7 linked regions of the Oryctolagus cuniculus genome follow. The protein of the gene in region 3 purifies or fractionates together with the protein of the main gene of each other region. This does not show direct contact. Links are inferred from orthologs where the notes say so. Each region holds a gene or a part of one and is shown on either strand. Other genes may lie near its edges. The genes, in order: SCFD2, SCFD1, STX18, SEC22B, SNAP29, RINT1 and NBAS.

Region 1 (3,873 bases), on a different chromosome or scaffold from region 3:
CCTCCGTTCGGCCCTGCAGAGCTGGGGTTCCTGGGTGGCCCAGCTCAGAGGGCAGCCAGCAAGGAAGGAACACGTGTTGTGTTCTGCAGCAGCTGCCAGGATCCGTTCCTGCTCCAGGGGCCCGGGCCAAGGCCCTCTCCACGCAGCACCCTCGGGGCCTCGGCGCCGGCTCACAGGCCACCCCGTGGGACGTGCGGGGACCGGGAGTAGCAGCCGAGCAACTGGCCGAGTCGCCGTTCCTCTCGAACTCAGCTTTGGCTGAGCCTCACCTGGCGCCAGTGATGGGTCCGTGGTCGGCCCAGCCTGGTTCAGAGCCCCGTGTCCGGACCGGTTCACCACGGCCAGGGGCTGCCACGTGCACAGGGGAGACTGCTGTCTTTGGGGTGCACCACCGCCTACCGCGGGCTCTGCGGCAGGGCTGGGGGAAGCTTTTGGTGGAAATGACGGGTTTCGTGTGAGACCCCTGCACGGGGAGAGGTGCACACACCGCGGAGGTCACGGAGTGCGGCTGCTCGTTCACACATGAAACGGGACCCTGGGGCTGTGCTGTTTCAGGACAGGGTCTGATCAGAGGAAAGCGTCCCAGCATGCACCTCTGCCGATGCAATCAGCGAGGCCTGGATGTCGCCTGCAGCGCTATTTATAGCCACTGTTGCTGTTTCCCTTGGTGCTGCCAGGTGGGGTTCACTCTGTGTCTGGCATTCATTAAGTCCGCCCCGCGGTTCTGGTGGGAGGGGCTTTGGTGCAGAGGGTCAAACAGAAACAGAGCCTGGCTTTGGCGGTCTGTCATTTGCGTGGTGGTGAACGGTGCCCACGGCTTGCCAGGGAGCGGGATGGAGGGCCGCAGGGAGGGGCCAGGGAGGAGGGGCTGGACTCACCAGACCGGGAGGAGTTGGAGCAGGGTGAGGGGAACAGGGGCCAGGCGGCCATCAGGGTGGCAGGGAAGGTGGGGAGGGCGGAGGCAGCGAGGGCAGGGGGGCGGTCCCCGGGCACACAGAGAGCAGGCGAGGCAGTAATGAGAGGAGGTCATCACTTGGTCGGGGGTGCAGGGCGTCCACGCTTGTCTGGATGGACAAGAAGGAACTTGCCGTTGAGGCTGGTTGAGCTGAGGGACCCGTGACCACACCCACACAGGGCCTGTGTGGCGTGTGCGGGCCATTGAGCTGTGGAGGGGTCGGCGTCCATGGTCCAGGGCAGCCATGGAGCGAGTGGTGGGCGGGGCATCACAGCAGGACACAGGTGCATGGCAGGGCGTCCTGGCAGCCGGGCACCCCCGCCGTGTGACCGGGCGGTGTGACGGGGTGGGCGCGCCCCCGGAGGAGCCGGCGGCGCTCGGCTGCTGCTCGCAGAGAACCGAGCGCTCACAGTTTTCAGAGACGGGCGCTGGTGCAGATGTTGCAAGAGTTCATTTCCTGATGGCAGCGTGCAGACCGTCAGGTGGCCCCGGCCAGGCTCTGCCGAGAGACCCGGGCTCCAGCGCCGGCCTACAGCTCTGCAGCCCAGGGACTTCGGACAGCCGCGTCAGCCCCGAGCCTCCATGTCTGTCCCTGTGAGGCGAGGCTGCCCCTACCTGCTGATAGATTCCGAGCACTGGACGCTGGCCCCCTCCCCGCCCCAGCAGGAGTTCCCACACATGGCTTACAGCAGCAGTGACTTCCTGTGGTCCTCCCCGCCTGCTCCGTCCACTGCTGAGTCCCTGGCCCCCAGGAACTGCGCTGCAAGTTATCGGTCGACAGCGTGAATGGATCAGAAGCACAGCCGTCGACTGGAAGCGATCAGTGGCAGGGAAGTGCCCGTCCTGGTGCCCGTGGGAGCAGCAGGGACCCTTCCCTCCAAATCCAGGTGACAGATTCCACCAGGGCCTCCGGGCACTCTCATGGGAGCCCACGCCCACGCCCACGGAGAGGGTCCCGCACCTCTGCCAAGCTGGGATGGGACGGAGGAGACACTAATGCAGTGAATGTTCTCAGCAAAGCCCTGGGAGACCGGGAGAGCGAGGCCCCGACTCGCTGTCTGTGACAGCCCTGATGCGAGTCGTCTGCAGTGCCCGTCACCCGGGCCTGCCTAAGGTGGGCTCAGCCACGCAGGAAGGAACCTGGATTTCCCACAGAAAAGACTGGGTGTTGCACTCGCGACTTCACACGCCCTCGGGGCCACAGAGCCGACCCCAGAAGGCATTCCTGGGGCCCCGCTGCCCTCAGCCACGGGCCTGGCGCTGGTTGCTGCTGTGTGTTTGTCTCTCTCCCGCCTTTCCATCGGCCAGCCCGGCCCTCCAAGGCTGGGAGTGTAGTTGGGCTGCAGACTCCTTCGGGAAACGTGTGTCTTTGGGAGCGCACTGCGCCATGCACCATGGGGAGCCGGTTGCGGTCCTGTCCCAGCTCTCGGTGAGAAGCAGCAGTGGCGTGCAGGGCTGGCCGGCTTCTGGGGCCATCCCTCAGCCAGGAGAGTCGCGTGAAGCCGACAGAGTCTCCCAGACGCCCCTGCGAGGGGAAGGCTGGTTTCCTGTCGACCCGGGACCTGCCTCACTCCATTCTGTCTTGTTCTCACCCCACTTCCTGAAAAGCTGCCTCCTGCCCGGCACTGAGATCGGCATGGAGAACAGCAAGAGAAGTCTGCCCTGCCCGCGCCCTCCGGGAGCTGCCCAGGGCAGCAGGCCCCTCTGCAAGGCCAGGGCTGAGGAGGGCGGGAGCCAGGCGGGGCGCAGGAGCTCGAGGTGCTTGGCAGAAGGGGTCAGCAGAGGCCCCGACTCGCCACGTCCGGGGACACGTGGGGGGCACTTTGCAAAGGTGGGACGGAGGACGCCCGAGGTGCCACGTGACTCGACCTCAGTGTGATGGCAGGGCGGAGACCAGAGCCCACTGGTGTGCCCCTGCCAATGCCTGCTAGACAGCAAGATGGTGGCGACCTTGAAACAGGGAGAGGGCTCCACAGGGCCGGTTTCCTGTCCCCTGACCTGCGGCTGGTGGCTCGGGTTTGTGCTCTTTGGGAAAATGAGTCTGCATGCTTGTGACAGATGCATGTTTCGATGCGTATCTCCAAGGAAACGCAAGCGGAAAAAAAAGCGAATCTGGCACGTGAGCGTGGCATGATCGTCTGCAACAGTGCGGGGTGGGGTGGAGGGAGAGTGGATTGCTAACGATGGCCCCTGTCGGGGTCACCTGCATTGGGCGGGAGGCTCCCTGGGGCCCCCCGGTGCCATGTCACGGGCTGCCGCGGCCACACCTATGCCATCTTTCTGATGCTGGCGTGTTTGGTTTTGCAGGTGAGCCGGCCCCATCCCAGTGACCATCCCCTGCTGATCCTCTTCGTGGTGGGCGGGGTCACAGTCTCCGAAGCCAAAATGGTCAAAGACCTCGTGGCATCACTGAAGCCCGGGAGCCAGGTACTGAGCTCGTGACGATGTGTGCAGGAATCCAGAGGCCAGGGGCGGCTGTGGGGAGGGTGGGCCAAGGCCCTTCGCCCAGGGCCCCAGCGCTCCTCTCCCAGCCTGCGCCCCCTCCACCCGCGGCTGTCCGGTCACCTTCTCCCTGTTCCTGGCTCTCAGGCCCAGCCTGGCACCCCTGGAGACCCCTTGCCCACCGTGAGAGGGGACTGGATTGTCGGTGTCCATCCTGACAGGCCGAATTCGCTGGCGCTAAGCAGAGGAGCCCTGAGTAGAAGTCATTGCTGGCAAAGTGGATTGGGCGGGGTCCTTTCTCCTGCCCGGTGCACACTCTGTGCTGTCCAGTCAGCACTAAGTACCCAAGGGACCTGCAGCTCTCCAGGCCTCTGGTCCCTGACAGGTGACCCTGGGGAGAGGGCAGCGGCGGGGGTTGGAGCGGGCCGTTGTCCAGGTCCCGACTGCTCCCCTGTGCCACCCGCCAGGCCCCCTCC
Region 2 (4,446 bases), on a different chromosome or scaffold from region 3:
TGTTCTGAGTTGTCTGATTAACACAGTCCTCTAATGTCAAATAGTTTGTCAGTATAAATTATGTAAGCCAAAAGTCTGGAGTCAGATAGTTGCCTGACTCAGAAGCCATAGGTTTTTTTAAGTTACTGATTCTAGTAAATACAAAACAAATAGCATACTCAATCTAAGCCTTGCAAAGACTATTTTTTTCTACTGTTACTATTCTGTAGGTTGTGGTTTCCTAAAAATTTATTGTCTAAGCTCGTTGGTTGGGATAGTGTTTATTTCATATGTGTATATATTGTACATAAATGGTAACACTGTCGTAGTATTTTATATTAATATGACTCCAGTGGCCTTGAGATGGAGTCTGTGATGGAACCAACGTGGTTAGATAGAAGACAGGCATTTGAATATGCCAAATTAAAGACTGACCTCTCAGATGTTGGAAGGAGGAAAGGCTGTATATTTTACATTCCATGGAGTCCACAGAAGAAAACAGAACTTTTCCATAGGCAGGAACTCACATTTCTGTTGAATTAAAACACACCTAGATGATTCACAATGTCTTTTAAATAGTATTAACACTAAAACCGATACATATCTTAGTTAATTTGTTAATGACTATGCCAATTGGAAATAATCAGATAATGTAGATTCAATACTAACTTAAAAGTAGGGTAACTTGTTTTAAATGTCATATAAATAAGTAACTTATTTGTGAAGCAGATGTTTAGTGTTTCATCACAGAGTATAAATAACGTTTTTTTCTGTTAGGATAATATAATTTTGAAAGTTAAATTTTTGAGGCATAGTGATTTTGGAATTTGATGCAACTTCAGAATTAACGTTCGACAGCTGATGCTATGTCATCAATGAATTCTACTGAACATGGGAAATGTCAATGCATCCGTTTTTGACACCCAATAAAATCTAGGGGTCATAGCAATCCATATTGAATACATTTTGTGATCACATGGCTTCAAGTGTGCATTCAAAAGCTTGTACCACAATTCGTATCCCACCCTCCACCTCAAGGTAATGTTTTGTGAGTTTGCAATTACTGAAAGCAAAGATGAGAGTTTGCTGTGGTTTTGTTTGTTTGTTCTGTCTCTTCCCGGCTCCTGTGCCTATGGAGGCAAATCTCCACCACACTGGTAGGCCATTTTATCTAAAAGAAGAGATTGAGAAAACTGCCAAATTAGAGCCATGCTCCAAAACTTGCTGAAAAAGGAAAGGGAAGATTGCTGCTGCTACACCCGGAAACGAGAAAGCTAACGTTTAGGTCTACTTTGTTTCAGAAGCTTCTTTTACTTTAGTCCATCCTGCGATCATCACGCCCATACCTATACGCTAGATTGTTACCACAAGGTAAAACCTCTTCAAAGGACGAGGCTGACTCGAGTATTTAAGCACTACACCACGCTCCTACCCTGAGCTCAGTTTAGAGTAGATATCATTTGAGAGCATACGGCTTGGTTAGGTTAGAAATTCCTACTATTCTGCAGCTGGAGAGTAAAACCAGTGAATTCAAGCGCTAATCAACGCTGGAAATGCAAAGTTTAAGTACAGAGTGGTGGCGTGGGAGCGTGGCCCGGAAGAGGCGGGGTCCCGCCGGCAGCACCGCCTTTCGTCCCGCCCCTCCGGGCTCTGCTTCCGGGGCGTTAGGGGTGGCCACGTCATCCTCGGGATCCGCTTGCCAGCCGAGCGGTGGATGGTGGGAGGCAAGATGGCGGCGGCGTCAGCGTCCAGTATTCGGGAGCGGCAGACAGGTACTGACTCCGTTCTCCCCGCAGTTTCATGCGTGCGCGGGGTCGTCTTGTGCATGTACCCTTATTCGGTCGTGGCGCGTGCTGCAGAGACTGGTCACTAGGAGTTTAAACCAGCAAACCAGAGCATCCAGAGCTCCTCCCCTTCGAGTTTTGGGGAAAGCTGGCATTAGCCGGAGCACCCAGTGCTTCACCTGTGCAGCAGGGGACGGGGCTTCAGGACTGGAGCCGTTGCTCTTGTCACAGTGCTGCGCTTGCCACCTTCCTTCTGGACCTCGAGAGGCTAGACAAGATCTAGCAACTGATGTTTTCTTTGCTGTGTTGCCAGCTTTGAAGTGTCTGGGTTTGTGTGCGTGGTTCATTCCTCAGTCTTACTATTGAAGGCGCTCCAGTGGCGCTTCCAGCGCAAGGAAAGAGTTCAGGTATTCCTTTAAGAGCGGCTTACTTTGTGTGACTTCTCTCCTGTGGGCCAGTCTTTTGGGAATACCTGAGGAAAACTTCCTGGGGATAAAGATTTCCTTCAGCTTGCGGAGAGGTCGAAGAATGGGAAAGCAAATGCATAGTTCTCCCACTGTAGTTGTTTGACAGGTTAGTGTTTTAAAACAATGTATTACTGGTTTTCTCTTCAATACTGCATGTTTATATAACTTCCATTTATGCAGTGAGGTGTGGTAAGGAAAAGACTATCTATTCCTGCGTTTTGATTTTCTCTTAATCTTAGATATTTTTAGTTTTGTTACTTGTAAAGTTTTGATGGTAACTTAGCATACACCGGTTAGCTACAAGCTAATGTTTTGCACCTGTTAGCTAATTGTCTTGAAAATTGTCACGCTCTGAGGCGCTTATAGAAACCAGCCATCAAGAATGCTCTCCCGGCTAGCTGGAGTTTCAGCTGCTCCATTTCTGACTCAGCTTCCTGTTAACAAGCATCCTGGGAGGCAGGAGTACATAGCTGAGTGCTGGGACCCTTTGCACCTGCAGGGAGACAGGGATGGAGTTCAGGCTCCTGGCTTTAGCCTAGCTGTTGGAAGCATTTGGGGAATAAACCAGCAGATGAAAGATACACGTGTGTGTGTTCGTGTTCAAGTAGATGAAAATACATAAGTATTTTTAAAAGAATGTGCATACTTGGAAAGTGTGGCTCCTGAGATCATTAATAGGACCTACAGAGGGATTTGGCTTGCACTTCATTCCTTTGTCATTTAAAAGAAAAACTGATTGACTTAAGTAAGGAATTGTGTTACATGCTTTTCCCAGCATATAATTTTAGTAGGACCTATCTGATGAGGTCAAGCATAACTTAAATGTAGGAATGTCCAGATAAGACTTGAGAAATAGCTGTTAATTGTTTTCTCTCTGTAAACAAATAGAGATCCACTTATCATTATGATCCTGATAGCTTAAGAAAGCTAAATAAACTCATATTACATATTAAAGAAACAATGTGTCAGTGAGACTACCAATATGATAATTTTTGAAGCTTTTGTATAGCATTGCATTTTTGTGTACAGAAATTCTGTGAAATATTAGAATCTAATACTAAAGATTGGATTTCTACAAAAATAAACTTCACTACAGCAAGATTTAGGTCATGCTAGATCAGTTACTCATCAAATGAGTACTATAACTGACATCTCATTTTCAGGAGAAGGGAAATCTCTGTATGTGTTATGGTGTCAGAAGTAAACATTTGTTTGCCTATTTAGAATGTTTTGGGCCGGCGCCGCAGCTCACTTGGCTAATCCTCTGCCTGCGGCACCCGCACACCGGGTTCTAGTCCCGGTTGGGGCACCGGATTCTGTCCCGGTTGCTCCTCTTCCAGGCCAGCTCTCTGCTGTGGCCCGGGAGGGCAGTGGAGGATGGCCCAAGTCCTTGGGCCCTGCACCCGAATGGGAGTCCAGGAGGAGGCACCTGGCTCCCAGCTTCGGCTCGACAGTACACCGGCCGTAGCGGCCGTTTGTGGGGTGAACCAACGGAAGGAAGACCTTTCTCTCTGTCTCTCTCTCTCTCTCTCACTGTCTAACTGCCTGTCAAAAAAAAAAAAAAAAATTGGCAAATAAGTCACATGATGTATTCTAGAAATGAGATAAATTGATAACAAAGGAATTTGCAATCAATTTGAGTAAATGAGAGCATAACTGATGTATGTTGAGCATTTAGTATTAATTGAGAACTGCTGGTTCACAGCCACAGTGGCTGCTTCTGAGCCGGGCTAAAGCCAGGAGGCTGGAACCCAATCCAGGTCTTCCTCGAGTGTGGCAGGGACCCAACAACTTGAGCCATCACCTGCTACTGCTCAGGGTGTGCGTTAGCAGGAGGCTGGAATTAGTAGTAGAGCCAGGTCTCGGACCCAGGCACCATGGACACATGTCCAAACAGGTGTCTCAACTACCTCTCAGCATTTACTGTTGCCAGGTACTATGTTTGATGATTTTATATGTATTGTTTCTGTTTTACAGATGAGGAAGCCAAGGTACAGAGAGGTTGGCTAGCATACTTGTTTCTGGCTCTACCTTCTTGAACAATCTTTATTGATGTTTTAAAATCACCTATTCCAAAGCCATCTCCTTTGTGAAAGCTTCAGGATCACTCCCTTTTCTCTCTTCAAGTTCAGCAGGCAGAATCAGTTGTTTCCTCCTGTGTTACTGTTGCAGGTTCTTGCTTATCTCTCCCAGCTCTCAGCGTTGCAGAACCCCAA
Region 3 (3,873 bases):
GGGAGTAACACACGCACACAGCCCCTAGGGGAGTGAGGGAGTAACACACGCACACAGCCCCTAGGGGGAGTGAGGGAGTAACACACGCACACAGCCCCTAGGGGAGTGAGGGAGTAACACACGCACACAGCCCCTAGGGGGAGTGAGGGAGTAACACACACACACAGCCCCTAGGGGGAGTGAGGGAGTAACACACGCACACAGCCCCTAGGGGAGTGAGGGAGTAACACACGCACACAGCCCCTAGGGGGAGTGAGGGAGTAACACACGCACACAGCCCCTGGGGGGAGTGAGGGAGTAACACACGCACACAGCCCCTAGGGGGGTGAGGGAGTAACACACGCACACAGCCCCTAGGGGGGTGAGGGAGTAACACACGCACACAGCCCCTGGGGGAGTGAGGGAGTAACACGCACACAGCCCCTAGGGGGAGTGAGGGAGTAACACACGCACACAGCCCCTAGGGGGAGTGAGGGAGTAACACACACACACAGCCCCTAGGGGGAGTGAGGGAGTAACACACGCACACAGCCCCTAGGGGGGTGAGGGAGTAACACACGCACACAGCCCCTGGGGGAGTGAGGGAGTAACACACGCACACAGCCCCTGGGGGAGTGAGGGAGTAACACACGCACACAGCCCCTAGGGGGAGTGAGGGAGTAACACACGCACACAGCCCCTAGGGGGAGTGAGGGAGTAACACACGCACACAGCCCCTGGGGGAGTGAGGGAGTAACACACGCACACAGCCCCTGGGGGAGTGAGGGAGTAACACACGCACACAGCCCCTAGGGGGAGTGAGGTTCCCACAAGCACCACTCAGCAGACCAGCTGGGCGAGGAAGGAGATCTTCCACATGCCCCACTGTGCCCTTCAGCTGAGGGCACCTTTGGGAGAAGCCCCGTGCCAAACCCTGCCAAGCTGCTCCCCAGGCCTGACCCCTGGCACCAGGTAGTGAATATGTGTCCCTCCAGGGTCTGAGTCGTGTTAACTGTGCCGCAGGAGCATTAGGAAAGAGTGGTGCGATTGGAGCTCCGGAGCACTCTCTGGGCAATGTAGAGGAGCAGGTCCCAGACGTCCTGGCCTGGAACGCCAGTCTCAGAAAAACCTGACAAAGAAGGCCGTGCATGTGGGTTGTTTGGAAGGGACTTCCTTTTTGGAAATTCAGACGATTTTGGCCTAGACAAAGACTTGTCTAGGGAACACCCACCTGGCGTTGGCGATCTCTCTCAGATCTGCATGACCACAGAAGCCCTCCCGTGTGGTGCGTGGTGATCAGACACGGCTGCGTGGGGCAGGGCCTCAGCCCATGCACTTTGGAGCTGGGTCCTGTCCTGTCCCAGCCCAGCAGGTGCTGTGAAGGCTACCTTAGAGGGAAGTTTTGGAGCCAAATCAATGCAGTGGTATAAAATGCTTAGAAAGTGCCCAGTGCATAGTGCCCTCCAGAAATGCCGGCTGGCATGCGCCATGCTAGCGTACATTCTGCTTGGATCTGTGTGCCTGACAGTCAGAGCTTCTTTACAGGTCTTTTTACACTTTTCTGCCTGTGATTTTCTCGTTATGTTGATTCTAGTAAAGCTATTACAGAGCCCTCCGTTTCATAACCAAATTTTTTTCTCTCTTAGTAGCCGTTTACAGATATTTGTAAAGCACTCAACATACAGCTCGAATGCCAGGGACTCATGCAGGACGCAGGGCTAAGGAGCAGACATGACTTAGGGAGGCAGAGACCTGCTCTCAGTGCGGGCACTCAAGCGAAGGAGGCAGTGAACAGATAACGGGGGGTGACAGACCACGGTCACGGCTGTGGAGAGAACCAGCAGGTGCTGGGGAGAGAGGGGCCCTTCTCAGGTAGCAGTCAGTGGGCGAGCCTGAGCCAAGCCCGCAGCCAGGAGGGAAGACCCAGCACCGCCCCGCAGCAGGAAGAGCCCTGTGGGAGGGCGAGGGCCAGGCGCGGGCAGGAGCTGTGGTTCCCGAGCCAAGCGGGTCTCACTGAGTGGCCATCTGAGGGCTAACACGTCCTTGGGAGCGTCACACACAGCGTGCATGTGGAGATGCACACGTGTTGACAGCACTCCTGCTTGATTGTGCCAGTGTGTGGCTGTAAATCCAGCTTTCTGGACTTGTTGAACCCGGGCCAGTCAGCCTTCACCACCCTGGGCTGAGACAGGGGTCAGTCTGTGGGGCACGGTCAGCACTTAGCCACTGCACCCTCCTCTGAGGTTCGGCGCCACCTGGGCTAGGAGCGCTGAGGGATGCTCAGCCCCGCCCCCGCCCCCACCCCCGCCCCCGCAGGCAGCAGTAGCTGCTCCTGCAAACAGGGCTGTGTCCACTCGGCCCCGGGGCCCAGAACCAGCGACTGCTCCCCAGAGGACATGGAGAGCAGACGCAGGGGCCACGTGGGACTCCCTCTCTGTCAGGAAGCAGGCCTGTTGTGAAGGGAAGGCGGTGACTGCTAATTATTATTTGCAGATCTAAGCTGGAACCAGAACCAAATGTGAAAACAAGAGAAGCCATCTCTTCCGAGAAAGCGTCACCGAATCCTTCAAAGGACTCTGGAGAGAAGCCTGCCTCTGAAGAGTTCCCAGGTACGAGCTGAGACGCACACCTTGGGCCGGCACCGCGGCTCACTAGGCTAATCTTCCGCCTGCGGCACCGGCACCCCGGGTTCTAGTCCCGGTTGGGGCGCTGGTTCTGTCCCGGTTGCTCCTCTTCCATTCCAGCTCTCTGCTGTGGCCTGGGAGGGCAGTGGAGGATGGCCCAAGTGCTTGGGCCCTGCACCCGCATGGGAGACTAAGAGGAGGTGCCTGGCTCCTGGCTTCAGATCAGCGCAGCGTGTGGGCTGTAGCAGCCATTTGGGGGATAAACCAACGGAAGGAAGACCTTTCTCTGTCTCTCTCTCTCACTGTCTAACTCTGCCTGTCAAAAAAAAAAAAAAAAAAAAAAAAGCACACCTTGCCTCGTGACACGTGGGCACCAGGTACAAAGCCGGACACAGCTCATACCTGTATACGCAGCGCTGTCACAGCCTGCAGGAGTCGCCTGTCCACTGGGAACCGGGAGGGGCCCGTGGGAGCTGTGTATTGGCCGGGTGTGGACTGGAGCCTCTGACTCAGGAGGAGAGAGTGGGGCGCTCTGCTCAGGGAGGCCCCGGACCTGTGTCGGGGGGTGAAATGTGAGTCTGGGGTCCCGTGCTTACGTCATCCCCGAGACTACAACAGTTCTGACACACACAGGCTGCCAAGAAATACAGGACTCCACCAAGGCAGCTGTCATGGGCGCCGGAGGCTGTGTGTGCGGCCAGTTCCCCTCCGCCACGTGGGGAGAGCCACCGCAGCTCACCGGCTGAGGCGTGGCCGGGCAGGGTCTGCTCTAGTGGCTCATGGGCGGTGCGCTGGAGCAGGAGAGCTGGGCGTCCTCTCCAGCACCCTCCCCTTAGTGCGCTGTGGCCCTGCTCACTCCTGCCTCCGACCGCGGGATCGGTCCTGCGCGCTCGCACCTTGTCACCGTCCTCACAGCAGCCCCGTGGCCGAGATCCGTGAGCCTCCTTCACAGATGATCCTGCGCAGCCCGGGGGCTGGGCAAGCCGCCTCATTTCAGAGCCCTGAGTGGTGGGCGCGGGGTGTGTGTGGCTCTGTGGATGCCCAGGCTGCCCTCCAGCTAACTGATCTGCGTTTGACAGTGAACTCTGTGCCTCATAGCGTCTTTTAAGATGTATTTGTCTATCTGAAAGGTGGAGTTACAGAGAGGCAGAGGCAGAGAGAGGTCTTCCATCTCCTGGTCCACTCCCCAGATCTCCTCAGTGGCTGGAGCTGGGCCAATCTGAAACCAGGAACCAGGAGCTTCTTCTGGGTCTCCCATGTGGGTGCAAGG
Region 4 (3,873 bases), on a different chromosome or scaffold from region 3:
ATTAGGATAAAAATGTATAAATGCTCTTTTGGAATTTACTTCTAATAATGGAAAGATATTGCTTTCTAATTCTAGGGATTTGTAGTTTGAAACTGACTTTGTGATTTAGCCAGCATCACAGGGTTTGGACCATATAGTTGCAGAAGTTTGCATGGTTCTGAATTGTGTTTCAATCTGTTAGAAGTACTTACTGTTTAAAAATGATTTTTGTGTTTCTTTTTTGTTTCTCCAGCTACATTATTGAACAGGGAGTGTGTTATTTGGTTTTGTGTGAGGCTGCCTTTCCTAAGAAGTTGGCTTTTGCCTACCTAGAAGATTTGCACTCAGAATTTGATGAACAGCATGGGAAGAAGGTGCCCACTGTGTCTAGACCTTACTCCTTTATTGAATTTGGTAAGTTTTTGACCCTGACTTGTCAAAAGGAAGCAAACGATATGAAGAAGCCATTTGTTACACTAACACAATATTGATGCATTTTTTTAAAATTTATTTATTTGAGAGATAGAGTTACAGACAGTGAGAGGGAGAGACAGAAAGAAAGGTCTTCCATCCGCTGGTTCACTCCCCAAATGGCCACAACAGCCGGAGCTGCTCTGATCTGAAGCCAGGAACCAGGAGCTTCTTCCGGGTCTCCCACGCAGTTGCAGGGACCCAAGGACTTGGACCATTCTCTACTGATTTCCCAGGCCAAAGCAGAGAGCTGGATGGGAAGAGGAGCAGCTGGGACTAGAACCGGCACCTATATGGGATACCGGCACTGCAGGCGAGGGCATTAACCAGCTGTGGCACAGCACCGGCCCCCCTGTATATTAACATTGGGGTTCATTTTGTGGAGATCAGAATGCAGAAATCAGAAAGAATTATATTTTGCTTTTTACAGTAGAATAAGATCCTCTATTCAAAAAAAAAAACAAAACAAAACCCAGAAGATGGTGATGTCTGTTGTTCTCTCTAGGTTTCTTCTGCCTTTTAAATTAACAAGAAAAAAAAAAGGACTCATCACCAATAATACCTGGGTCAAGTAACTGATGGCAATAGATCACAGAAAATGTCTTAACTGTACTAAGTACAGGGAGTGAGAACAAGTAGGATCAGGCTACATCACAGAAAATTTTAGTTAAAAAAGAAATTAGTTATACTCCCTGACGTGTTTCAGGTTTGTTAGTATATGGATCATTTGCTTTTCAGAAAGAGAAAATTTAGCAAAGTATTCTAGTTTTCTATAACTAAATTTTCCAAGTGCTAATTTATATTGTGTTCAGTTTTTCAAATTTTATTTTTTAGGTAATAATATAGTCCAGTAAAGCGAAGAAAAAAATTAGACAAATGCCCGAGGGAGATTGTAAGTGGTATATGCCAGTGACCATAAGGGAACTATATACAGAGATAAGAATGGGCTGTAGGGGATAGGGCCGGCACCGTGGCTCACTTGGTTAATCCGCACCTGGCTCCTGGCTTTGGATCGGTGCAGTGCCGGCCGTGGCGGCCATTTGGGGAATGAACCAATGGAAGAAAGACCTTTCTTTCTGTCTCTCTCTCTTACTGTCTAGCTCTATCTGTCAAATTAAAAAAAAAAAAAAAAAAAAAAAGAATGGGCTGTAGGGGAATCCCAAGGTACCATGCACCTGTGGTTGTATTATCCGTAGACCTGAAGTTATAAGGGGAAGAACCAAATTCAGAAACTGAGGAGGAGAAAATTTACAGAGAAGGCCAGTTCGAGGGAAGCAGTAACTTTTGGCTTTGCCAGCCCAAAGTCACTTCTTAGGGAGGAGCCAGGAGCTCACTGTCTGCTCTCCTCCTTCCGTGCTGTTGGGACTTCCTCACTGTCTCTGAACCTAACTGAAGGCTAAGGGTGAGGAGCCCATTCAGGTCAGTTTCCCAGAAAGCAAAGTGGAAAAGAGTGGAGAGGAGATCTAAAGAGGCGGATAAAAGGTGCCCAGCCAGGCCAGCGCTGCCGTGCAGTGGGTTAAGCCATGACCTGCAGTGCCGGATTCCTGTTTGGGCGCTGGTTTGAGTCATGGCTGTTCTGCTTCTGGTCCTGCTCCCTGCTAATGTGCCTGGGAACAAACCAGGAAATGAACCCAAGCATTCCAATATGGAATGCAGGTGTCCCAACTGGCATTTTTTTTTTTTTTCCAGGCAGAGTTAGAGAGAGAGAGACAGAGAGAGACTTACAGACAGTGAGAGAGAGACAGAGAGAAAGGTCTTCTTTCCGTTGGTTCACTCCCCTAATGGCTGCTACGGCCGGTGCTGTGCCGGTCTGAAGCCAGGAGCCAGGTGCTTCCTCCCAGTCTCCCATGGTGGTGCAGGGCCCAAGCACTTGGGCCATCCTCCACTGCACTCCTGGGCCACAGCAGAGAGCTGGACTGGAAGAGGAGCATCTGGGACTAGAACCCGGCACCCCAACCGGGACTAGAACTCAGGGTGCCAGCGCTGCAGGCGGAGGATTAGCCAAGTGAGCCACAGCGCCGGCCCAACTGGCATCTTAACCACTAGGCCGAATGATTGTCCTGCTTCTCACCTTTTTGGATGCTTATAAACTCGTTTACCATATTAAGTTCAAATAATACTAGAGTGTTAGCAACCTTTCAGGGAAAGTGTAGAATTAAATAATGAAGCCCTAAGTATTCTCCAAATATAGTTTGAAAATTTCTGCTTGCAAGAAAGGCTTACTGTATTGGGTCTTAATTTTTTCTTTTTCTTTTTTTAGATTTTTTAAATTTATTTGAAAGACAGAGTTACAGAGAGAGGTAATGACAGAGAGAGAGGTCTTCCATCCACTGGTTCACTCCTCAGATGGCTACAATGGCCAGAGCTGCGCAGATCCGAAGCCAGGATCCAGGAGCTTCCTCCGGGTCTCACACGCGGGTACATGGGCCTGAGGACTTGGGCCATCTTCTACTGCTTTCCTAGGCCACAGCAGAGTGCTCGCTTCGGCAGTACATATACTAGGCCACACCAGAGATCTGGATCGGAAGAGGAGCAGCCGGACTAGAACTGGCACCCATATGGGATGCCGGCACTTCAGGCCAGGGCTTTAACCTGCTGTTCCACAGCGCCGGGCCCATGGGTCTTAATTTTTCTGAGAATTCTGATAGCAGATACTTTGAATTCATAGTGTCCAAAGGACATTTTTTTCTGAATGGTCACCTGGTTCTATCTTTACATGGTACAAATGAGGAAGTTAAAGTCCAGATTTTGAGGTAGGTGTTGCAATGCAACAGCTTTAGCCACCACGTGGGATGCCCACATCCCATATTGGAATGCCTGGTTCAAGTTCTGGCTGCTTCACTTCCTATTCAGCTACCTGCTGCCTGGGAAAGCACTGGATGATAGCCCAAGTACTTGGAGCCTTGCCCTTGTGTGCAAGACCCAGATGGAGTTCTGGACTCTTAGCTTTGGTCTGACTGAGTCCAGTGGTTGCAGGCTTTTGAGGACTGAAAGAGCAGATAGAAGGTGTCTCTGTCTCTGTCTCTTTTTCCCTCTCTCTGTCAATGTGTTTTACAGATAAACAAATACATAAAGACATCCTCTATCTGTCTTCCTATCTTTAATGATAAGGGGGGAAAAAAGTCAAGATTTTGATATTTCCCAGAGTTTGGTTAGCCATAGACAATGGCAGATCCAGAAATAAACTCAGAACATCCAGTTCTCTACTTCAGCACTTTGCTATACATGAGAGAAATTGTTAATGGTAACTTTCATCATCAATCTAGATACCTTCATTCAGAAAACCAAGAAGCTGTACATTGACAGTCGTGCTCGGAGAAACCTAGGCTCCATCAACACTGAATTGCAAGATGTGCAGAGGATCATGGTGGCCAATATTGAAGAAGTATTACAACGAGGAGAAGCACTCTCAGGTATCTAAGA
Region 5 (3,873 bases), on a different chromosome or scaffold from region 3:
AGGGGCCAGCACTGTTGCATAGTAGGCTAAGCCTCCACCTGTGGCGCTGGCATCCTGTGTGGGTGCTGGTTCATGTCCTGGCTACTCTGCTTTCAGTCCAACTCTCTGCTTATAACCTGGGAAAGCAATGGGAGATGGCCCAAGTGCTTGGGCCCCTACAACCCAGTGGGAGACCCAGAAGAAGCTCCTGGCCTCAGATCAGCTCAGCTCCAGCCGTTGCAGCCATTTGGAGAGTGACCCAGCCAGATGGAAGTGCTCACTCTCTCTCTAACTATGCCTTTCAAATTAATAATATAAATCTTTTAAGCAAAAAATGATGACGTGCCCTTCACAGGTGACAGCGTCTGCCCCGACATGTGCTTCGCATTTATGGAGTACCCACATGTGGTTCTCATGGGCCAGGGAGAACTACCAGAAGGATAACTGCCACGTGTCTTTCCTAGGAGCTCGTCCGTCAGCGAGGAGTCTTAGAACGCACGGAGAAGATGGTGGACAAGATGGACCAAGATTTGAAGACCAGCCAGAAGCACATCAACAGCATTAAGAGCATGTTCGGGGGCCTTGTCAATTACTTCAAATCCAAACCCGCAGAGGCGGCCCCTGAACAGAATGGCACCGGCACCCCCCAGCCCAACAGCAGGTGAGTGTAGCAGAAGTGGGCTTTGGCGTGAACGGAAGACTTCCAGGCCTTGGCCGAGCCATGAGGGGATTCAGGAAGCCTGTAAGTTATACTTCAGGAGGGTTTTGTGTTAACCCATCTTCCCACGCCTGATTATATGTATTTGATTGGCACCTAGTCTGCAGATTGTGCATAAGTTGGGTTTCCAGTAAATTCCTGCTATACTGATTGTCACCCCAGTACTGAGAGTGTTCACCTCAGAAAGTTAGATCAGGCTGTAAGGGACTCCCTACACAATATCTGTACTTTATTTTTTTAAAAGATTTATTTTATTTATTTAACAGACAGAATTACAGAGAGAGGTAGAGACAGATAGAGAGGTCTTCCATTCGCTGGTTCACTCCCCAGATGGCCACAATGGTCAGAGGTGTGCCAATCCAAAGCCAGGAGCCAGGAGCTTCTTCTGGGTCTCCCACGTGGATTCAGGGACCCAAGCACTTGGGCCATCTTGTACTGCTATCCCAGGCTGTAGCAGAGAGCTGGATCAGAAAAGGAGCAGCCAAGACTAGAACTGGCGCACATGTGGGATGCCGGTGCTTCAGGCCAGGGCTTTAACCCGCTATACTGCAGAGCTGGCCCCAGCAGTATCTGTACTTTAAAAAGTCATTTTTCCCACCCAGGTGTTCTACATATAATTCAATTTGCCCATTGCTTTTCACTTTTTTATTTATTTTCATTTACTTAAAAGATACAGGGGCAGACACTGTGGCACAGCAGGATAAAGCCCCAGACTGCAGCACTGGCATCCCATATGGGCACTGGTTCAAATCCTGACTGCTCCACTTCCAATCCAACTCCCTGCTAATGTGCCTGGGAAAGCAGTAGAAGACGGCCCAAGTCCTTGGGCCCCTGTAGCCACGTGGGAGACCCGAAAGAAGCTCCTGGCTTCGGATTTGCTCAGCTCCAGGCATTGAAGCCATTTGGGAAGTGAACCAGCAGATGAAAATTTCTCTCTGTCTCTCCATAACTCTCTTTCAAATGAATAAAAACAAATATTTTAAAAAATAATACAAAAGGCATAGAGGGATTTTTCCATCCACTGGGTTACTCCCCAAATGCCCACAACAGCCAGGGCTAGACCATGCTGGAGCCATGAGTCAGGAATTCCATACAAATCACCCACAGAGGTGGCAGAGCAATAAGGCCTTGAGCCGTTGTCTGCTGCCACCTGGGAGCCTCAGCAGGAAGCTGGACCTGAAGCAGAGGAGCTGGTCCTCAAACCAGCACTCTGCTGTATCGGGCTGTAGTCTTCCCTGAAGCTGAGTGGGTCTGGGAAGAAAGGAATGTTGGTAAAGAGCCAGTAATGGTAGCAGAGAGAAGAGGTGGGGGAGGCTCCGGGCGTCTGGATCGGACACTGCAGGGAGGAAAGCAGGCCTCTGCAATGCCCTGGGGCTACTCCCGTAGATGCACCAGGGTTGATTTGTCTGGCTTAGGCCCAACCACCACTTCGCGCAGATTTTCCAGCTTGACCCTGATTTTAATTAATTACTTCTGAGATTTATTAATTCATTTATTTGAAAGGCAGAGTTACAAAGAGAGAAAGAGGGAGAGACAGAAGCAGAGATTTTGCATCTGCTGGTTCCCTCCCGAGATGACCATAACAGCCAGGCCTGGGGCAGATTCAAGTCACGAGCCAGGAACTTCATCTGAGTCTCCCACGTGAGTGCAGGGGCCCAATTACCTAGGCCATCTTTGCTGTTTTCCCAGGTGCTTTAGTAGGGAGCTGGATCAGAAGTGGAGGAGCCGGGACTCAAACCAGCACTCATAAGCGATGTCAGCATCACAGGTGACAGCCCTACCTGCTATGCTGCAATGCCGGCCCCGACCCTAACTTTAAATCCCTGTCACTCTTTCTCATAACAGAATTGGGTTTTCCTTTGGCTGCTTTTTTTTTTTTTTTTTTTTTTTTTTTGACAGGCAGAGTAGACAGTGAGAGAGAGAGACAGAGAGAAAGGTCTTCCTTTTTTGCCGTTGGTTCACCCTCCAATGGCCGCCACGGCTGGCGTGCTGCAGCCGGCGCACCGCACTGATCCGATGGCAGGAGCCAGGTACTTATCCTGGTCTCCCATGGGGTGCAGGGCCCAAGTACTTGGGCCATCCTCCACTGCACTCCCTGGCCACAGCAGAGAGCTGGCCTGGAAGAGGGGCAACCGGGACAGAATCCGGCGCCCCGACCGGGACTAGAACCCAGTGTGCCGGCGCCGCTAGGCGGAGGATTAGCCTAGTGAGCCGCGGCGCCGGCCTTCTTTGGCTGCTTTTAATTATAGATGAGTATCCCTCATCAGAAATGCTTGGGACAGAAGTGTTACAGATTTTAGTTTTTTTTGGATTTTGGAATATTTGCATAGACTTTACCAATTGAGCATTCCTAATTCCAAAATGCTCCAAGATCTAAAACTCAGCAGCGCTCAAGAAGTTTCAGATTGGGGGCAGGGCAGGAGTTGTGGCACCGCAGGTTAAGCCACACTTGGGACACCTACATCCGATGATGGAGCACCAGTTCAAGTCCTGGCTGCTCTGCTTCTGATCCAGCTCCCTGCTAATGCTCCTGGGAGGCAGCAGAGATGCAGCGAGTCAAGTACTGGAGTCTGTGCCACCCACCTGGGAGACCCACATAGAGCCTGGCTCCTGACTTCAGCCTGGCTCAGCCCTGATTGTTGGTCGTTTGAGGACTGACCCAACAGATAGAAAATCTCTTCCTCTCCCTCTGCCACTCTACCTTTGCAAATAAATAAATCAATCTTTTTCTAAAAAGGTTTAGGGTTTTGGAGCATTTAGGATTTTAGGTGTTCAGGCTAGGATGCTCAACCTGTGCCACAGGAAAGGTAGGATGTTCATTTAGTTTATTTTTTTTTTAAGATTGATTTATTTATTTGAAAGTCAGAGTTACACAGAGAGGAGAGGCAGAGAGAGAGAGATCTTCCATCCCCTGGTTCACTCCCCAAGATGGCTGCAATGGCTGGAACTGTGTGATACGGAGCCAGAAGCCAGGAGCTTCTTCTGGGTCTCCCCTGTGGGTGCAGGGGCCCAAAGACTTGGGCCGTCTTCTGCTGCTTTCCCAGGCCACAGCAGAGAGCTGGATCAGAAGTGGAGCAGCTGAGTCTCAAACTGGCGCCCATATGGGATGCGGGCACTGCAGATGGCAGCTTCACCCGCTACAGCGTCAGCCCCTCATTTAGTTTAGAATGAGACAG
Region 6 (4,309 bases), on a different chromosome or scaffold from region 3:
CCGAAAGGAATCCACGGCTGTGGACATGCTGGATTAAAGGTTCAATGAGGGACTTTGGCATAAGTTTCTGTGGTCTGTAGGGAAACAAGCCTGATTACAGGGAGTCAAAGACCGAATGGCAAATCAGAAAGTGAAGGCAGACACATGATGACTCTTCAGACTGACAGTCAAAGGAAAGTGCCAGCTCCCACTGAAAGATGAGAGGAAAGTTTTGCTTGTTGGTTTGGGTTGTATGAAAAAGTCATGCGTATGTCCATAAGCAGAGGGAACAGGACTGGCTGAGGAGTGATGTTAAGTCCGCTAAGGTGGCAGGCATGAGCTGAGACACAAAGACAGCTTTAGGTTGATGCTTCCACTGAATTAAGAGGTAAAAATGTTTACAAACAGGTTTGTGCCATGTGGGGGAGACCGATTCATGCGAGATGCCTCAGTATTTTCTGTGTGGGAAAGGGAAAGGGCAGAATGGCCAGCTCTAGTGTCTCCGGGAAAATCTGGAAGCACAGCTGAGGGGAGCAGCAGAGGGCCCACATTCCTACGGAAGGACCACTAGGTGGGGCTGAAGACTCAGCCAGGAAGGCAACCGGACATTTGGGTGGCATCCCTCCCCCTGCATGGGTGACCTCCTCCCACGGGGCTCACAACAGCCTGCCTACAGGTACAGAAAAGGCCATCAGGGCCTAGCAAAATCTTGAAACTAGCAGTGGAGTAGATGTGGTAAAAAGACAGGAAGATGTGGAGGGCCAAGGTGACTGGATGGGAGAACACAAGAGGACTGACAACCTGGAGAAAATATACCCACTTCCCACAGAGCTTACTTTAACCTACTTTGGTGGTTACACAATAACAATCTTTTAACAAAGACATTATTGCAAGTATAGGGACTTACTTGTTTAAGATTACATTCATTGGGTTTTTAAAAAATTCTTTTAAGTAATATGTAATAAAACATAAAATGAAAAAAAATCACCTGTCAACCAACCACCTACAAGAAACCATTATAATGTTACACTTTTCATGTTTCTCCTCTATGTGTGCATTTATAAAAATTTGGGATGATGGTGTTTAAACTTTTTTTGTTTACCATAAATTTACTTGTAAAAGCAGTTTCTGGGGCCAGCGCTGTGGCAAAGCCACCACCTGCAGTGCCAGCATCCCATATGGACGCCAGTTGGAGACCCAGCTGCCCACTTCCAATCCAACTCTCTGCTATGGCCTGAGAAAGCAGTAGAAGATGGCCTAAGTGCTTGGGGCCCTGCACCCACATGGAAGACCTGGAAGAAGCTCCTGGCTCCGGGCTTCGGATCGGCTCAGCTCCAGCCGTTGCAGCCATCTGGGGAATGAACCAGCGGATGGAAGACCTCTCTCTCTCTCTGTCTGCCTCTCTTTCTCTGTCTGTGTAACTCTTTCTAAGTAAATAAATAAATCTTTTTTTTTTAAAGCAGTCTCTAAGTCTGTATAAAAAGCCATGAAAATGTTATCGTTTTTAAAGACATAAATCATACAGTAAGAACCCTTTTATATAGTTTATAAAATACATAGCACACTGTAAATCCTTAAAGCTTATTGAGCAAAAAAAAACTTTTTAAGCAGGGAGTGGGAAGAAAACTCATTAAGCAGTTTAAAATGTCACAATCTATACCTTCACAATTTTATACACAATATTAGCTATGTTTATATTAATAAAGATGCATATATATTATACTTGCCTGTTCTTCTAACTGTATTTTATTTTTTGTCATTTGTTCTATGAGTTTATCAAGTTTCTTCAAAGACTGAAGGTCATTTCCAACTTCCTTTTCTATGAATGCAGACACGTAAGCCGAAAGCTCACTATTATCTATATTTTCACTGACATGTTCACTTTCAACAAGAGCTACATTATTTATGTCACCTAAAATAAAAGAATAACAATTACTCAACACCATTAAGGACTGGGGAATTAAAGGAATTATAAAAACATACAAAAGTTAATAATGGAAGAACATACTACATACATATAGGTATCTGAAAAAGTTCATGGAAAAATGGAATGAAAAGTTTCCTGTGGTGCAACAAAACCTTTGAGGGTAGGTGTGTAGCCTGGGAGTTTAGCAGCTGCGTCCTACGCTGCAATACCTGGGTTCGATTCCCGGCTCTGGCCCTTCTGGAGAGCACCCGTGTTATACAATTGTAGACAAACATACACATATAAGACCAGTTAATACTTGGTACTACATAAGCATAGTGCGCAGAAACAGCTCATCTCAAAGCTAACAGGCTAAGATCGCCTTTCCCTGCCGCCTACCCTGGAAGGCTGAGTTTGGGAGAGACGCCGGGACACAAAGCGCTACGGCGGATGCAGCCTGCTTGCTCTCCTCCACGATGCTCTCCGTTTCTGCGCCACTTTCAGGGCAGCACTGGAAGAACAAGGTGACAAAAACACTGACGTTAAAGGAGCAGATGGAACTTAACACAGGGCTCCCAAAGGAACCGACAGGGATCTGCCCAAAGTCCCAGGGCGGTCGGATACAGGTTTCGAAAAAGGGCTACCTCCCTGGTGCCACCCCTCCCAGGAGTCTGTGCCACCCTCGCCCGGCCACCGGAGCCACCTCCCTGGAGAGATCAGTCATCTCACTGGGACCACGACCCCTGGGAATGCCGCGAGGGACTCGAACCTGCGCCGCGGGAACCACCCTCACAAGCCTCCAGCGCCACCTCACCAAGACAACCGGGAGGTTTGTGTCACCTCCCCGAGTCGCCAGAGACGACTCACCGGAGCTCCCGGCGCATCGCCGATCGGGGGCATCCCGCCTCCGCGCGAGTCCTCGGCTCCATTCGCAGCCAGCGTGGCTGGTGGAGTCCCGCTCCGGTCAGCGACAGAAACCAGCGCGCCTCAGCGGCTAAGGGACTTGGTGACACCGCGACTTCCTCTCGCCTCTCTCGGGTTCCTTCCTCTTGGCCAGAGCGGTCCTTCCCGCGAGCAGCCTTCTGAGCGCCGTCTCCCCCTGCAGGCCGGAGGTTGGAACTGCGGCCCAGGAAGAGAGCCCCCGCCCCCAAGGCAGCCCAGAGAAGGCTGGGCCCGTACCCCCTCTCTCTAAGCATTGGAGCTCTTCATTGTGGATCTTGAAGGTACTCCTTCTTTCACGGCATAAATTCAAAGTGAATCATTTACATTTATGCTTCAGACGACATCGAGATGTTCTGAAAATGAGTGCGCTTGGTGAGCGGCAGTGACTAGGTAGGTGTATTTTATCGCCTATTTAATTGTGGGATTGCCGATGAATGTAACCATCTCTAGATCTTTACCGCTGGTCAGTTCCCTAAGGATCACTCTCCAATGTCCTGGCTGGATGGTCAGCGTTCTGGTTGCTGAATGAAGAAGAGGACTCAGCGCCCACCAAGCCCCGTGCTCAGTCCAGACTCCCTAAATAAGCCCTATCTTCAGCTAAGGAGGAGGAACAAGAGTTAGCGGGAAGTAAGGCATGGGCCCCCGTATTTGACAATCTCAGAAACAAACTGCCAAGTAAAGTGGTACCATAAAGACCGAAATAGACAAGAAAAGGAGGGGAGGGAGAATAAGAATAAACAGAAAGCCTAGGAAAACAGAAGCCATTCAGTGAGAATAAAACTAAATATACTCAAACCAGGAGGAATCTTCCAAAAACAAAAAAAAAACTCGTGGAAAATTAATGGTATTTTTTAATGTGTGCATAGATTTCAAAACTTTTTTCCATCAAAATGCAACTTTTTTTTTTTTTTTTTTTAAGATTTAGTTATTGGCCGGCGCCGTGGCTCACTAGGCTAATCCTCCGCCTCGCAGCGCCGGCACACCGGGTTCTAGTCCCGGTCGGGGTGCCGGATTCTGTCCCAGTTGCCCCTCTTCCAGGCCAGCTCTCTGCTGTGGCCAGGGAGTGCAGTGGAGGATGGCCCAAGTGCTTGGGCTCTGCACCCCATGGGAGACCAGGATAAGTACCTGGCTCCTGCCTTTGGATCAGCGTGGTGCGCCGGCCGCAGCACGCCGGCCGCGGCAGCCATTGGAGGGTGAAGCAACGGCAAAGGAAGACCTTTCTCTCTGTCTCTCTCTCTCTGTCCACTCTGCCTGTCAAAAAAAAAAAAAAAAAAAAAAAGATTTAGCTATTTGAAAGGCAGAGTAGCAGAATCTTCCATCTGCTAGGTTACTCCCCTTTTGACTACCACAGCCTTGGGAGAATCAGGCCAAAGCCAGGAGGCAGGAACTCCATTTTGCTTTCCCACATAGGTGGCAGGGGCTCAAGGACTTCGGCTGTCTTCCACTGCTTTTCCAGGGCATATTAGCAAGGAGCTGGATGGG
Region 7 (4,662 bases), about 180 Mb from region 3:
GTGCATGTTTGGGTGTGTGGGTGTGGGTGTGCATCTGTGAGTGCAGGAGGAGGCGGCAGTACCGAGGGAAAGAACACACACTTCGCTGTTCTCCATTCACTCTTGTATTTGCCCCTCGAAGCCTGTTGTTCCTAGCCTGTGGTAAGACGATCCCATTTCTCTGGTACATAGTGTGAGCTTTTTTGGAATCTTTAGTTTTGATCAAAAAGAAGAAAAATGGAGACAACTGGACTCTGACACGGTCACTTGCAAACTGGCACTGTTTGCCCTCATTACACAGTTGCACCCACATTCATATTCAGAGCCAAAGGAGGCTTCAGATCCCTTACCTCATGTGCTAGCTTTGTAGGCTGCCTTAGCACCGTGCACACACCTGGTGGCTAGACACCCCATTCTGGTCGTGGAGGATTTGGGTGAGCTGAGGCGGCCAGGTCTCTGCTCTTGAGGAGACCACGTTCTGGGGGAGCAAACCCTGAGCAAGTCAAGTAGTGAGAGGCGAGGCTCCTGACATAGCCACATGGCATTCCATGGGTGACTTTGATCTCATCGAGAAACTGTCTGAAAGCTTGGCCAGGATGTGCCCTGCAAAGCCCTGGAAAATGGGAGGTGAGCAGCAGACACTTAGGGAGGGCAGGGCTCTGTGGGATGGCCATTCTTGTGTTCCTGGAACAAAGCACGCAGAACTCCTGGGCGGTGCCAATGGGGAGTACTGAAAGCTCTGTGCCTCTTTAATCGGGAAAGCTGGAATTTTGCATCAGTTGCTATTTTTCCCACCTAGTTTTTAAAACAAAACAAAATTGAGTTCAGCAAAGTGTCTTCCTGGGACCGAAGTAGGTGAGTTGCGTATGCCTGTGTCCATAGAAAGAAGACTCTGAGGGAGGCTGGGAGCCACCTCAGTTCAGGACAGGTCTAGCTCTGTTCCTATTCTCTGCAGTGACACAGCCATCATCGTGTACTTGTGCCATTTACCAAAACGTGACAAAGTTTAATAATGTAGGTTGTCGCTCCCCCTCTTCATGGAGGAACGACACAGGACCCTGTGCTGTTCTTTCGTCTGCTCGGCCCTCCCCGGGTTTGCTGCTGGTTCTTCCCGGGTTGGCTACTATCCCTTCCACCTCCGTGGAAGGGCAGTTCCCCCTGGCCACATTCCCCACTTCTGCAGGGGAGCGGCACACCGCCGGCCGGCTTTCTCGGGGGCTGCACAGGTGTTCCTTCAGCTAGATGTTCCCCTTAGGTGTTCCTGGTGCATGCCGTCTCTCTCCTCCTTTATAGTCCTCCTCTGCCAATCCTAACTCGGCTGCCCACACGCCGAGTACGCTGCTCTCCTCCAATCAGGAGCAAGTCCTACAGTTTATTAGCTGAACTGGAGGCAGCTGTGTAGAAGCTGTTTACTTCTCTCCCAGCGCCATATTGTGGGAGAGCAGATGCATAGAATAAGTCTTAATTCCAGTAACTCAGTCCAGTCCGGATTGCTCCCCACATAGGTTCGTTCAGCCATGTAACAAATGGTGACTAAACTGGATGCTGAAATAGAGAAATGATAAGTTTCGTTTCCTTCAGATTCTCTTAGTCTGACAGAGGAGAGAGAGATAAAATCACTACAGTACTGCCTGAAGAGACATCCATTGGGCTCGTTACACATGCGTACTCTTGAGACTGATGGAAGGCGGTATCAGTTTGGCCAGGAGGATTAACAATGTCACCAAGAAGATGGCATTGAAAGCCGATGTTTCTGTTGGGTTTTGAATGATTCCTGGATTGTAGGAATTATACTATCTGCAAGTCAGAAGTAACTTTGGAAAAAAAATTATTTGAGAGAGAAATCTCCCATCCATTGACTGAATCCACTGCCCCAGGGCTGGGACAGGCTGCAACCAAGAGCCAGGGCTTCAATTCAGGTTCCCCACATCGATCTGACTACTTGAGCTGTCACCTCCTGCCTCCCGGAGACACATTAGTGGGAAGCTGGAGTTGGGAACAGACCCAGTTCTTGAACCAGACATTCTGATGGGATGCGGGCATCTCAACAACATCTTAACTGCTATCCCTGCCCCATGAGTAGTAACTTTTATTCTCAGTACTTCTGCTTAAATTATTTTTTTAAACATTTATTTTATTTGCAGTGCAGAGTTACAAAGAGAAAAGGAGATAGAGGGAGATATCTTGCATCTATTAGTTTACTTCCCAAATGGCTGCATTGGCTGGGGGTGGGCCAGACCAAAACCAGGATCCTAGAACTCCATTCAGGTATCCCATGTGGGTGGCAGGAGCTCAACTACTTGGGCCATCCTCTGCTGCTTTCTCAGGTGCATTAGCAGGGAGTAGGATCAAAAGTGGAGCAGCCAGTACTTGAACTGACACTCATGTGGGATGCTGGCATTGCAAGTAGCATTCCAACCAGCTGTGCTACAACACCAGGCCCTTCTGTTTAAATTCTTGCAGCCAAAAACACAATTGGCCTTCTCATCTTTGCCAGAGAACAGGCGGGAAGAGAGCATCATGTACAATTGTAAGGTATCACTGGTCTAAACATTAATTAGCTTTGAAATGCCACATTATTTCTAAGGTTCCTACAATCAAATTATTAAAAATACATAGTGACATTAGGAAGAGCCTGTCATGAAGCAGTTTTGTCACAACTCAATGTAGATGAGAAGCTCTGAATTTTGGTATGAGTATTGACTTGATTTCTTACAAAAACATGGACAATTTTATAAAATAAAAAATCTAAATAAGATATCCAAACCATGGAAAAGCACACATAGACATGAAGATAAGACCAGGGAGAAGGAAAGAATAGAGGATATGCAAGCTAAAGGAGCCTATAAAGGCTTTTTAAAGTCGTGCAGTTGGTGCTGAGCCTCAGAGAGAGAGAGTGGGACAAGACCAGCGCAAGCCCACTGTTGCTACTCCTATTATGTAACTGAGTTGCAGGACACATTCTTTTCTCAGTGGATTAGAATAAAGGTTGTCTTATTTTGGAAAGAATTTTGTTTCATGTGGATCTACATTCAAGAGAGATTTGGGGTTAAAGAATATAGACCACAGTGAAATGACAAATGACGTGGCAATGTGGTGGTTACGAGTACTGGCTTTTCAGTCAAGACTGACCCAAACTCAGATTCTGGCCCAACAATTTATGACTTCAGTGTTCAACCAGATTCTCACACCTTGGCTTCCTTACGGTAGAACTGAGAGGTAAAGGAGCCGGTTTCACAGGCTTGAGTTGGGAAGGCATGAGTCATACCTGTACAGTGTTTAGCACCACCGTGTCTGGAGCTGAGTATCTGGTAGCTGTAGCGGTGATCCAAACAGGCTTCTTGGTACATGGCTTGTCACCTAATGTCCAGAGGAAACCTTGTCTGTCCTGCATGTCTGTGACCCCAGAGATGCTCACACCTTACATCCACTTTTTGGAGCAGATGCTTTTAAACCTGGACAGAAGTGTGTTTGATGATGGAGAGGAAAAGGCAACACATCGCAGCCCAGTAGACAGTGATGAGTCTGGGGGAGAGGAGGCTAAGCAGATGCCCTCTGATGTTTTGCCTGTCTTATTCCTTAAAGGTGAATGATTCAAACTGTGACCAAGAACTACTTTCCCTGCTCCTGGATGCCAAACTGATGGTGAAGTGCATCTCCACTCCCTTCTATCCGCACATCATTGACCACCTCTTGGCCAGTCTGCAGCAAGGGCGCTGGGATGCAGAGGAGCTGGCCAGACACCTGCAGGAGGCCGGCCATCAAGCCGAAGCCGGGTCACTGCTTCTGGCCGTGAGGGGGACTCATCCAGCCTTGAGAACTTTCAGCGTGGCCCTCAGTGCCGGACAGCACTGGGTGTGAGCCGCGCATGTTCCTGGGAGGAAAAGCGCGTCTGGAGCTGAACGCTGCTCCCAGAAGCAACGTGTCTACCTGCTGACTGTTCTCGGTGGTTCCAACAAACTGCAATAAAGCTGTACGTAAATGATGAGCAGACTCATTTTTTCAACTTTGGATTTCTCATATACTGACAGGTTAACATGCTTCCTTATTGACTGGCTCTTTTGTTCCTGTGTTGCTTTTCTTTTAAAATACCCTTTCTGGATAGAATTCAATTAATAAACTGTCAAATACTGCAGTTTAGAAGATTGGGTGGTGGTGGGTAGGACTGGGTGAGAAAGGGAGAATGTGTGATGGCTGGTGGTTGTGCAGGTGCCCTTAGGTGGAGGAAGGACAGACTTGGATTCGAGTCTCAAGTTACCTCTGTGATCTTGGGCAAATTATCCCACCCCCCTCTGAACCTTAGACTATGGTGTATAAAAGTAAGGGTGTATTATTCATCTCACAAAGTGGTTGAATGTTTTGTCAGGTTGTGTGTGTGAGGTTCTGTTAGATTCACAACAGGGACCCAAAAAATCTGAATTCTCTTCCTCCTTGCTAGTGTCCCAGTGTGTGAATTTTGGTAAGGCCACAAGTGATCAGTACCAACAGGTGAAACCTAGTGGAGATGGAGGCCTTCACAGTGGACCAGCAGCAGCTTGATGAGGCTGATACATTTGCCTGTCTGGATGGCTGTCTAGGCAGGTGAGTGGATAACAGAGCTAGCCTGTACGCTTGTCACAGACAGGAGTGACATATTGGGGTTCACTAATTTGCATAAAGCTACTCATAGCAAGAGTGTGAATA

What was found.
Region 1: the proteins of STX18 (region 3) and SCFD2 purify together in Homo sapiens (co-immunoprecipitation; 3 studies listed by BioGRID and IntAct, counting the BioPlex papers as one, with this or other methods). This does not show direct contact. The link is inferred for Oryctolagus cuniculus from reciprocal best matches to the Homo sapiens genes STX18 and SCFD2.
Region 2: the proteins of STX18 (region 3) and SCFD1 purify together in Homo sapiens (affinity purification with mass spectrometry; 5 studies listed by BioGRID and IntAct, counting the BioPlex papers as one, with this or other methods). This does not show direct contact. The link is inferred for Oryctolagus cuniculus from reciprocal best matches to the Homo sapiens genes STX18 and SCFD1.
Region 4: the proteins of STX18 (region 3) and SEC22B purify together in Homo sapiens (affinity purification with mass spectrometry; 5 studies listed by BioGRID and IntAct, counting the BioPlex papers as one, with this or other methods). This does not show direct contact. The link is inferred for Oryctolagus cuniculus from reciprocal best matches to the Homo sapiens genes STX18 and SEC22B.
Region 5: the proteins of STX18 (region 3) and SNAP29 purify together in Homo sapiens (affinity purification with mass spectrometry; 3 studies listed by BioGRID and IntAct, counting the BioPlex papers as one, with this or other methods). This does not show direct contact. The link is inferred for Oryctolagus cuniculus from reciprocal best matches to the Homo sapiens genes STX18 and SNAP29.
Region 6: the proteins of STX18 (region 3) and RINT1 purify together in Homo sapiens (co-immunoprecipitation; 6 studies listed by BioGRID and IntAct, counting the BioPlex papers as one, with this or other methods). This does not show direct contact. The link is inferred for Oryctolagus cuniculus from reciprocal best matches to the Homo sapiens genes STX18 and RINT1.
Region 7: the proteins of STX18 (region 3) and NBAS purify together in Homo sapiens (co-immunoprecipitation; 5 studies listed by BioGRID and IntAct, counting the BioPlex papers as one, with this or other methods). This does not show direct contact. The link is inferred for Oryctolagus cuniculus from reciprocal best matches to the Homo sapiens genes STX18 and NBAS.

The regions. Positions count from the first base shown.
Region 1 is NC_091439.1:110,848,674-110,852,546, forward strand, and holds part of SCFD2 (sec1 family domain-containing protein 2), read left to right. Parts: intron 1-3,262; coding exon 3,263-3,382; intron 3,383-3,873. UniProt on the Homo sapiens protein: May be involved in protein transport.
Region 2 is NC_091443.1:44,681,264-44,685,709, reverse strand, and holds the start of SCFD1 (sec1 family domain-containing protein 1), read left to right. Parts: upstream 1-1,616; 5' UTR 1,617-1,693; coding exon 1,694-1,751; intron 1,752-4,446. UniProt on the Homo sapiens protein: Plays a role in SNARE-pin assembly and Golgi-to-ER retrograde transport via its interaction with COG4. Involved in vesicular transport between the endoplasmic reticulum and the Golgi.
Region 3 is NC_091433.1:4,725,468-4,729,340, forward strand, and holds part of STX18 (syntaxin-18), read left to right. Parts: intron 1-2,472; coding exon 2,473-2,588; intron 2,589-3,873. UniProt on the Homo sapiens protein: Syntaxin that may be involved in targeting and fusion of Golgi-derived retrograde transport vesicles with the ER.
Region 4 is NC_091438.1:50,431,630-50,435,502, reverse strand, and holds part of SEC22B (vesicle-trafficking protein SEC22b), read left to right. Parts: intron 1-232; coding exon 233-393; intron 394-3,716; coding exon 3,717-3,863; intron 3,864-3,873. UniProt on the Homo sapiens protein: SNARE involved in targeting and fusion of ER-derived transport vesicles with the Golgi complex as well as Golgi-derived retrograde transport vesicles with the ER.
Region 5 is NC_091452.1:29,626,424-29,630,296, forward strand, and holds part of SNAP29 (synaptosomal-associated protein 29), read left to right. Parts: intron 1-443; coding exon 444-640; intron 641-3,873. UniProt on the Homo sapiens protein: SNAREs, soluble N-ethylmaleimide-sensitive factor-attachment protein receptors, are essential proteins for fusion of cellular membranes.
Region 6 is NC_091434.1:138,816,918-138,821,226, forward strand, and holds the start of RINT1 (RAD50-interacting protein 1), read right to left. Parts: upstream 2,946-4,309; 5' UTR 2,786-2,945; coding exon 2,753-2,785; intron 2,397-2,752; coding exon 2,285-2,396; intron 1,892-2,284; coding exon 1,707-1,891; intron 1-1,706. UniProt on the Homo sapiens protein: Involved in regulation of membrane traffic between the Golgi and the endoplasmic reticulum (ER); the function is proposed to depend on its association in the NRZ complex which is believed to play a role in SNARE assembly at the ER.
Region 7 is NC_091433.1:187,577,159-187,581,820, forward strand, and holds the end of NBAS (NBAS subunit of NRZ tethering complex), read left to right. Parts: intron 1-3,564; coding exon 3,565-3,840; 3' UTR 3,841-3,964; downstream 3,965-4,662. UniProt on the Homo sapiens protein: Involved in Golgi-to-endoplasmic reticulum (ER) retrograde transport; the function is proposed to depend on its association in the NRZ complex which is believed to play a role in SNARE assembly at the ER. Required for normal embryonic development.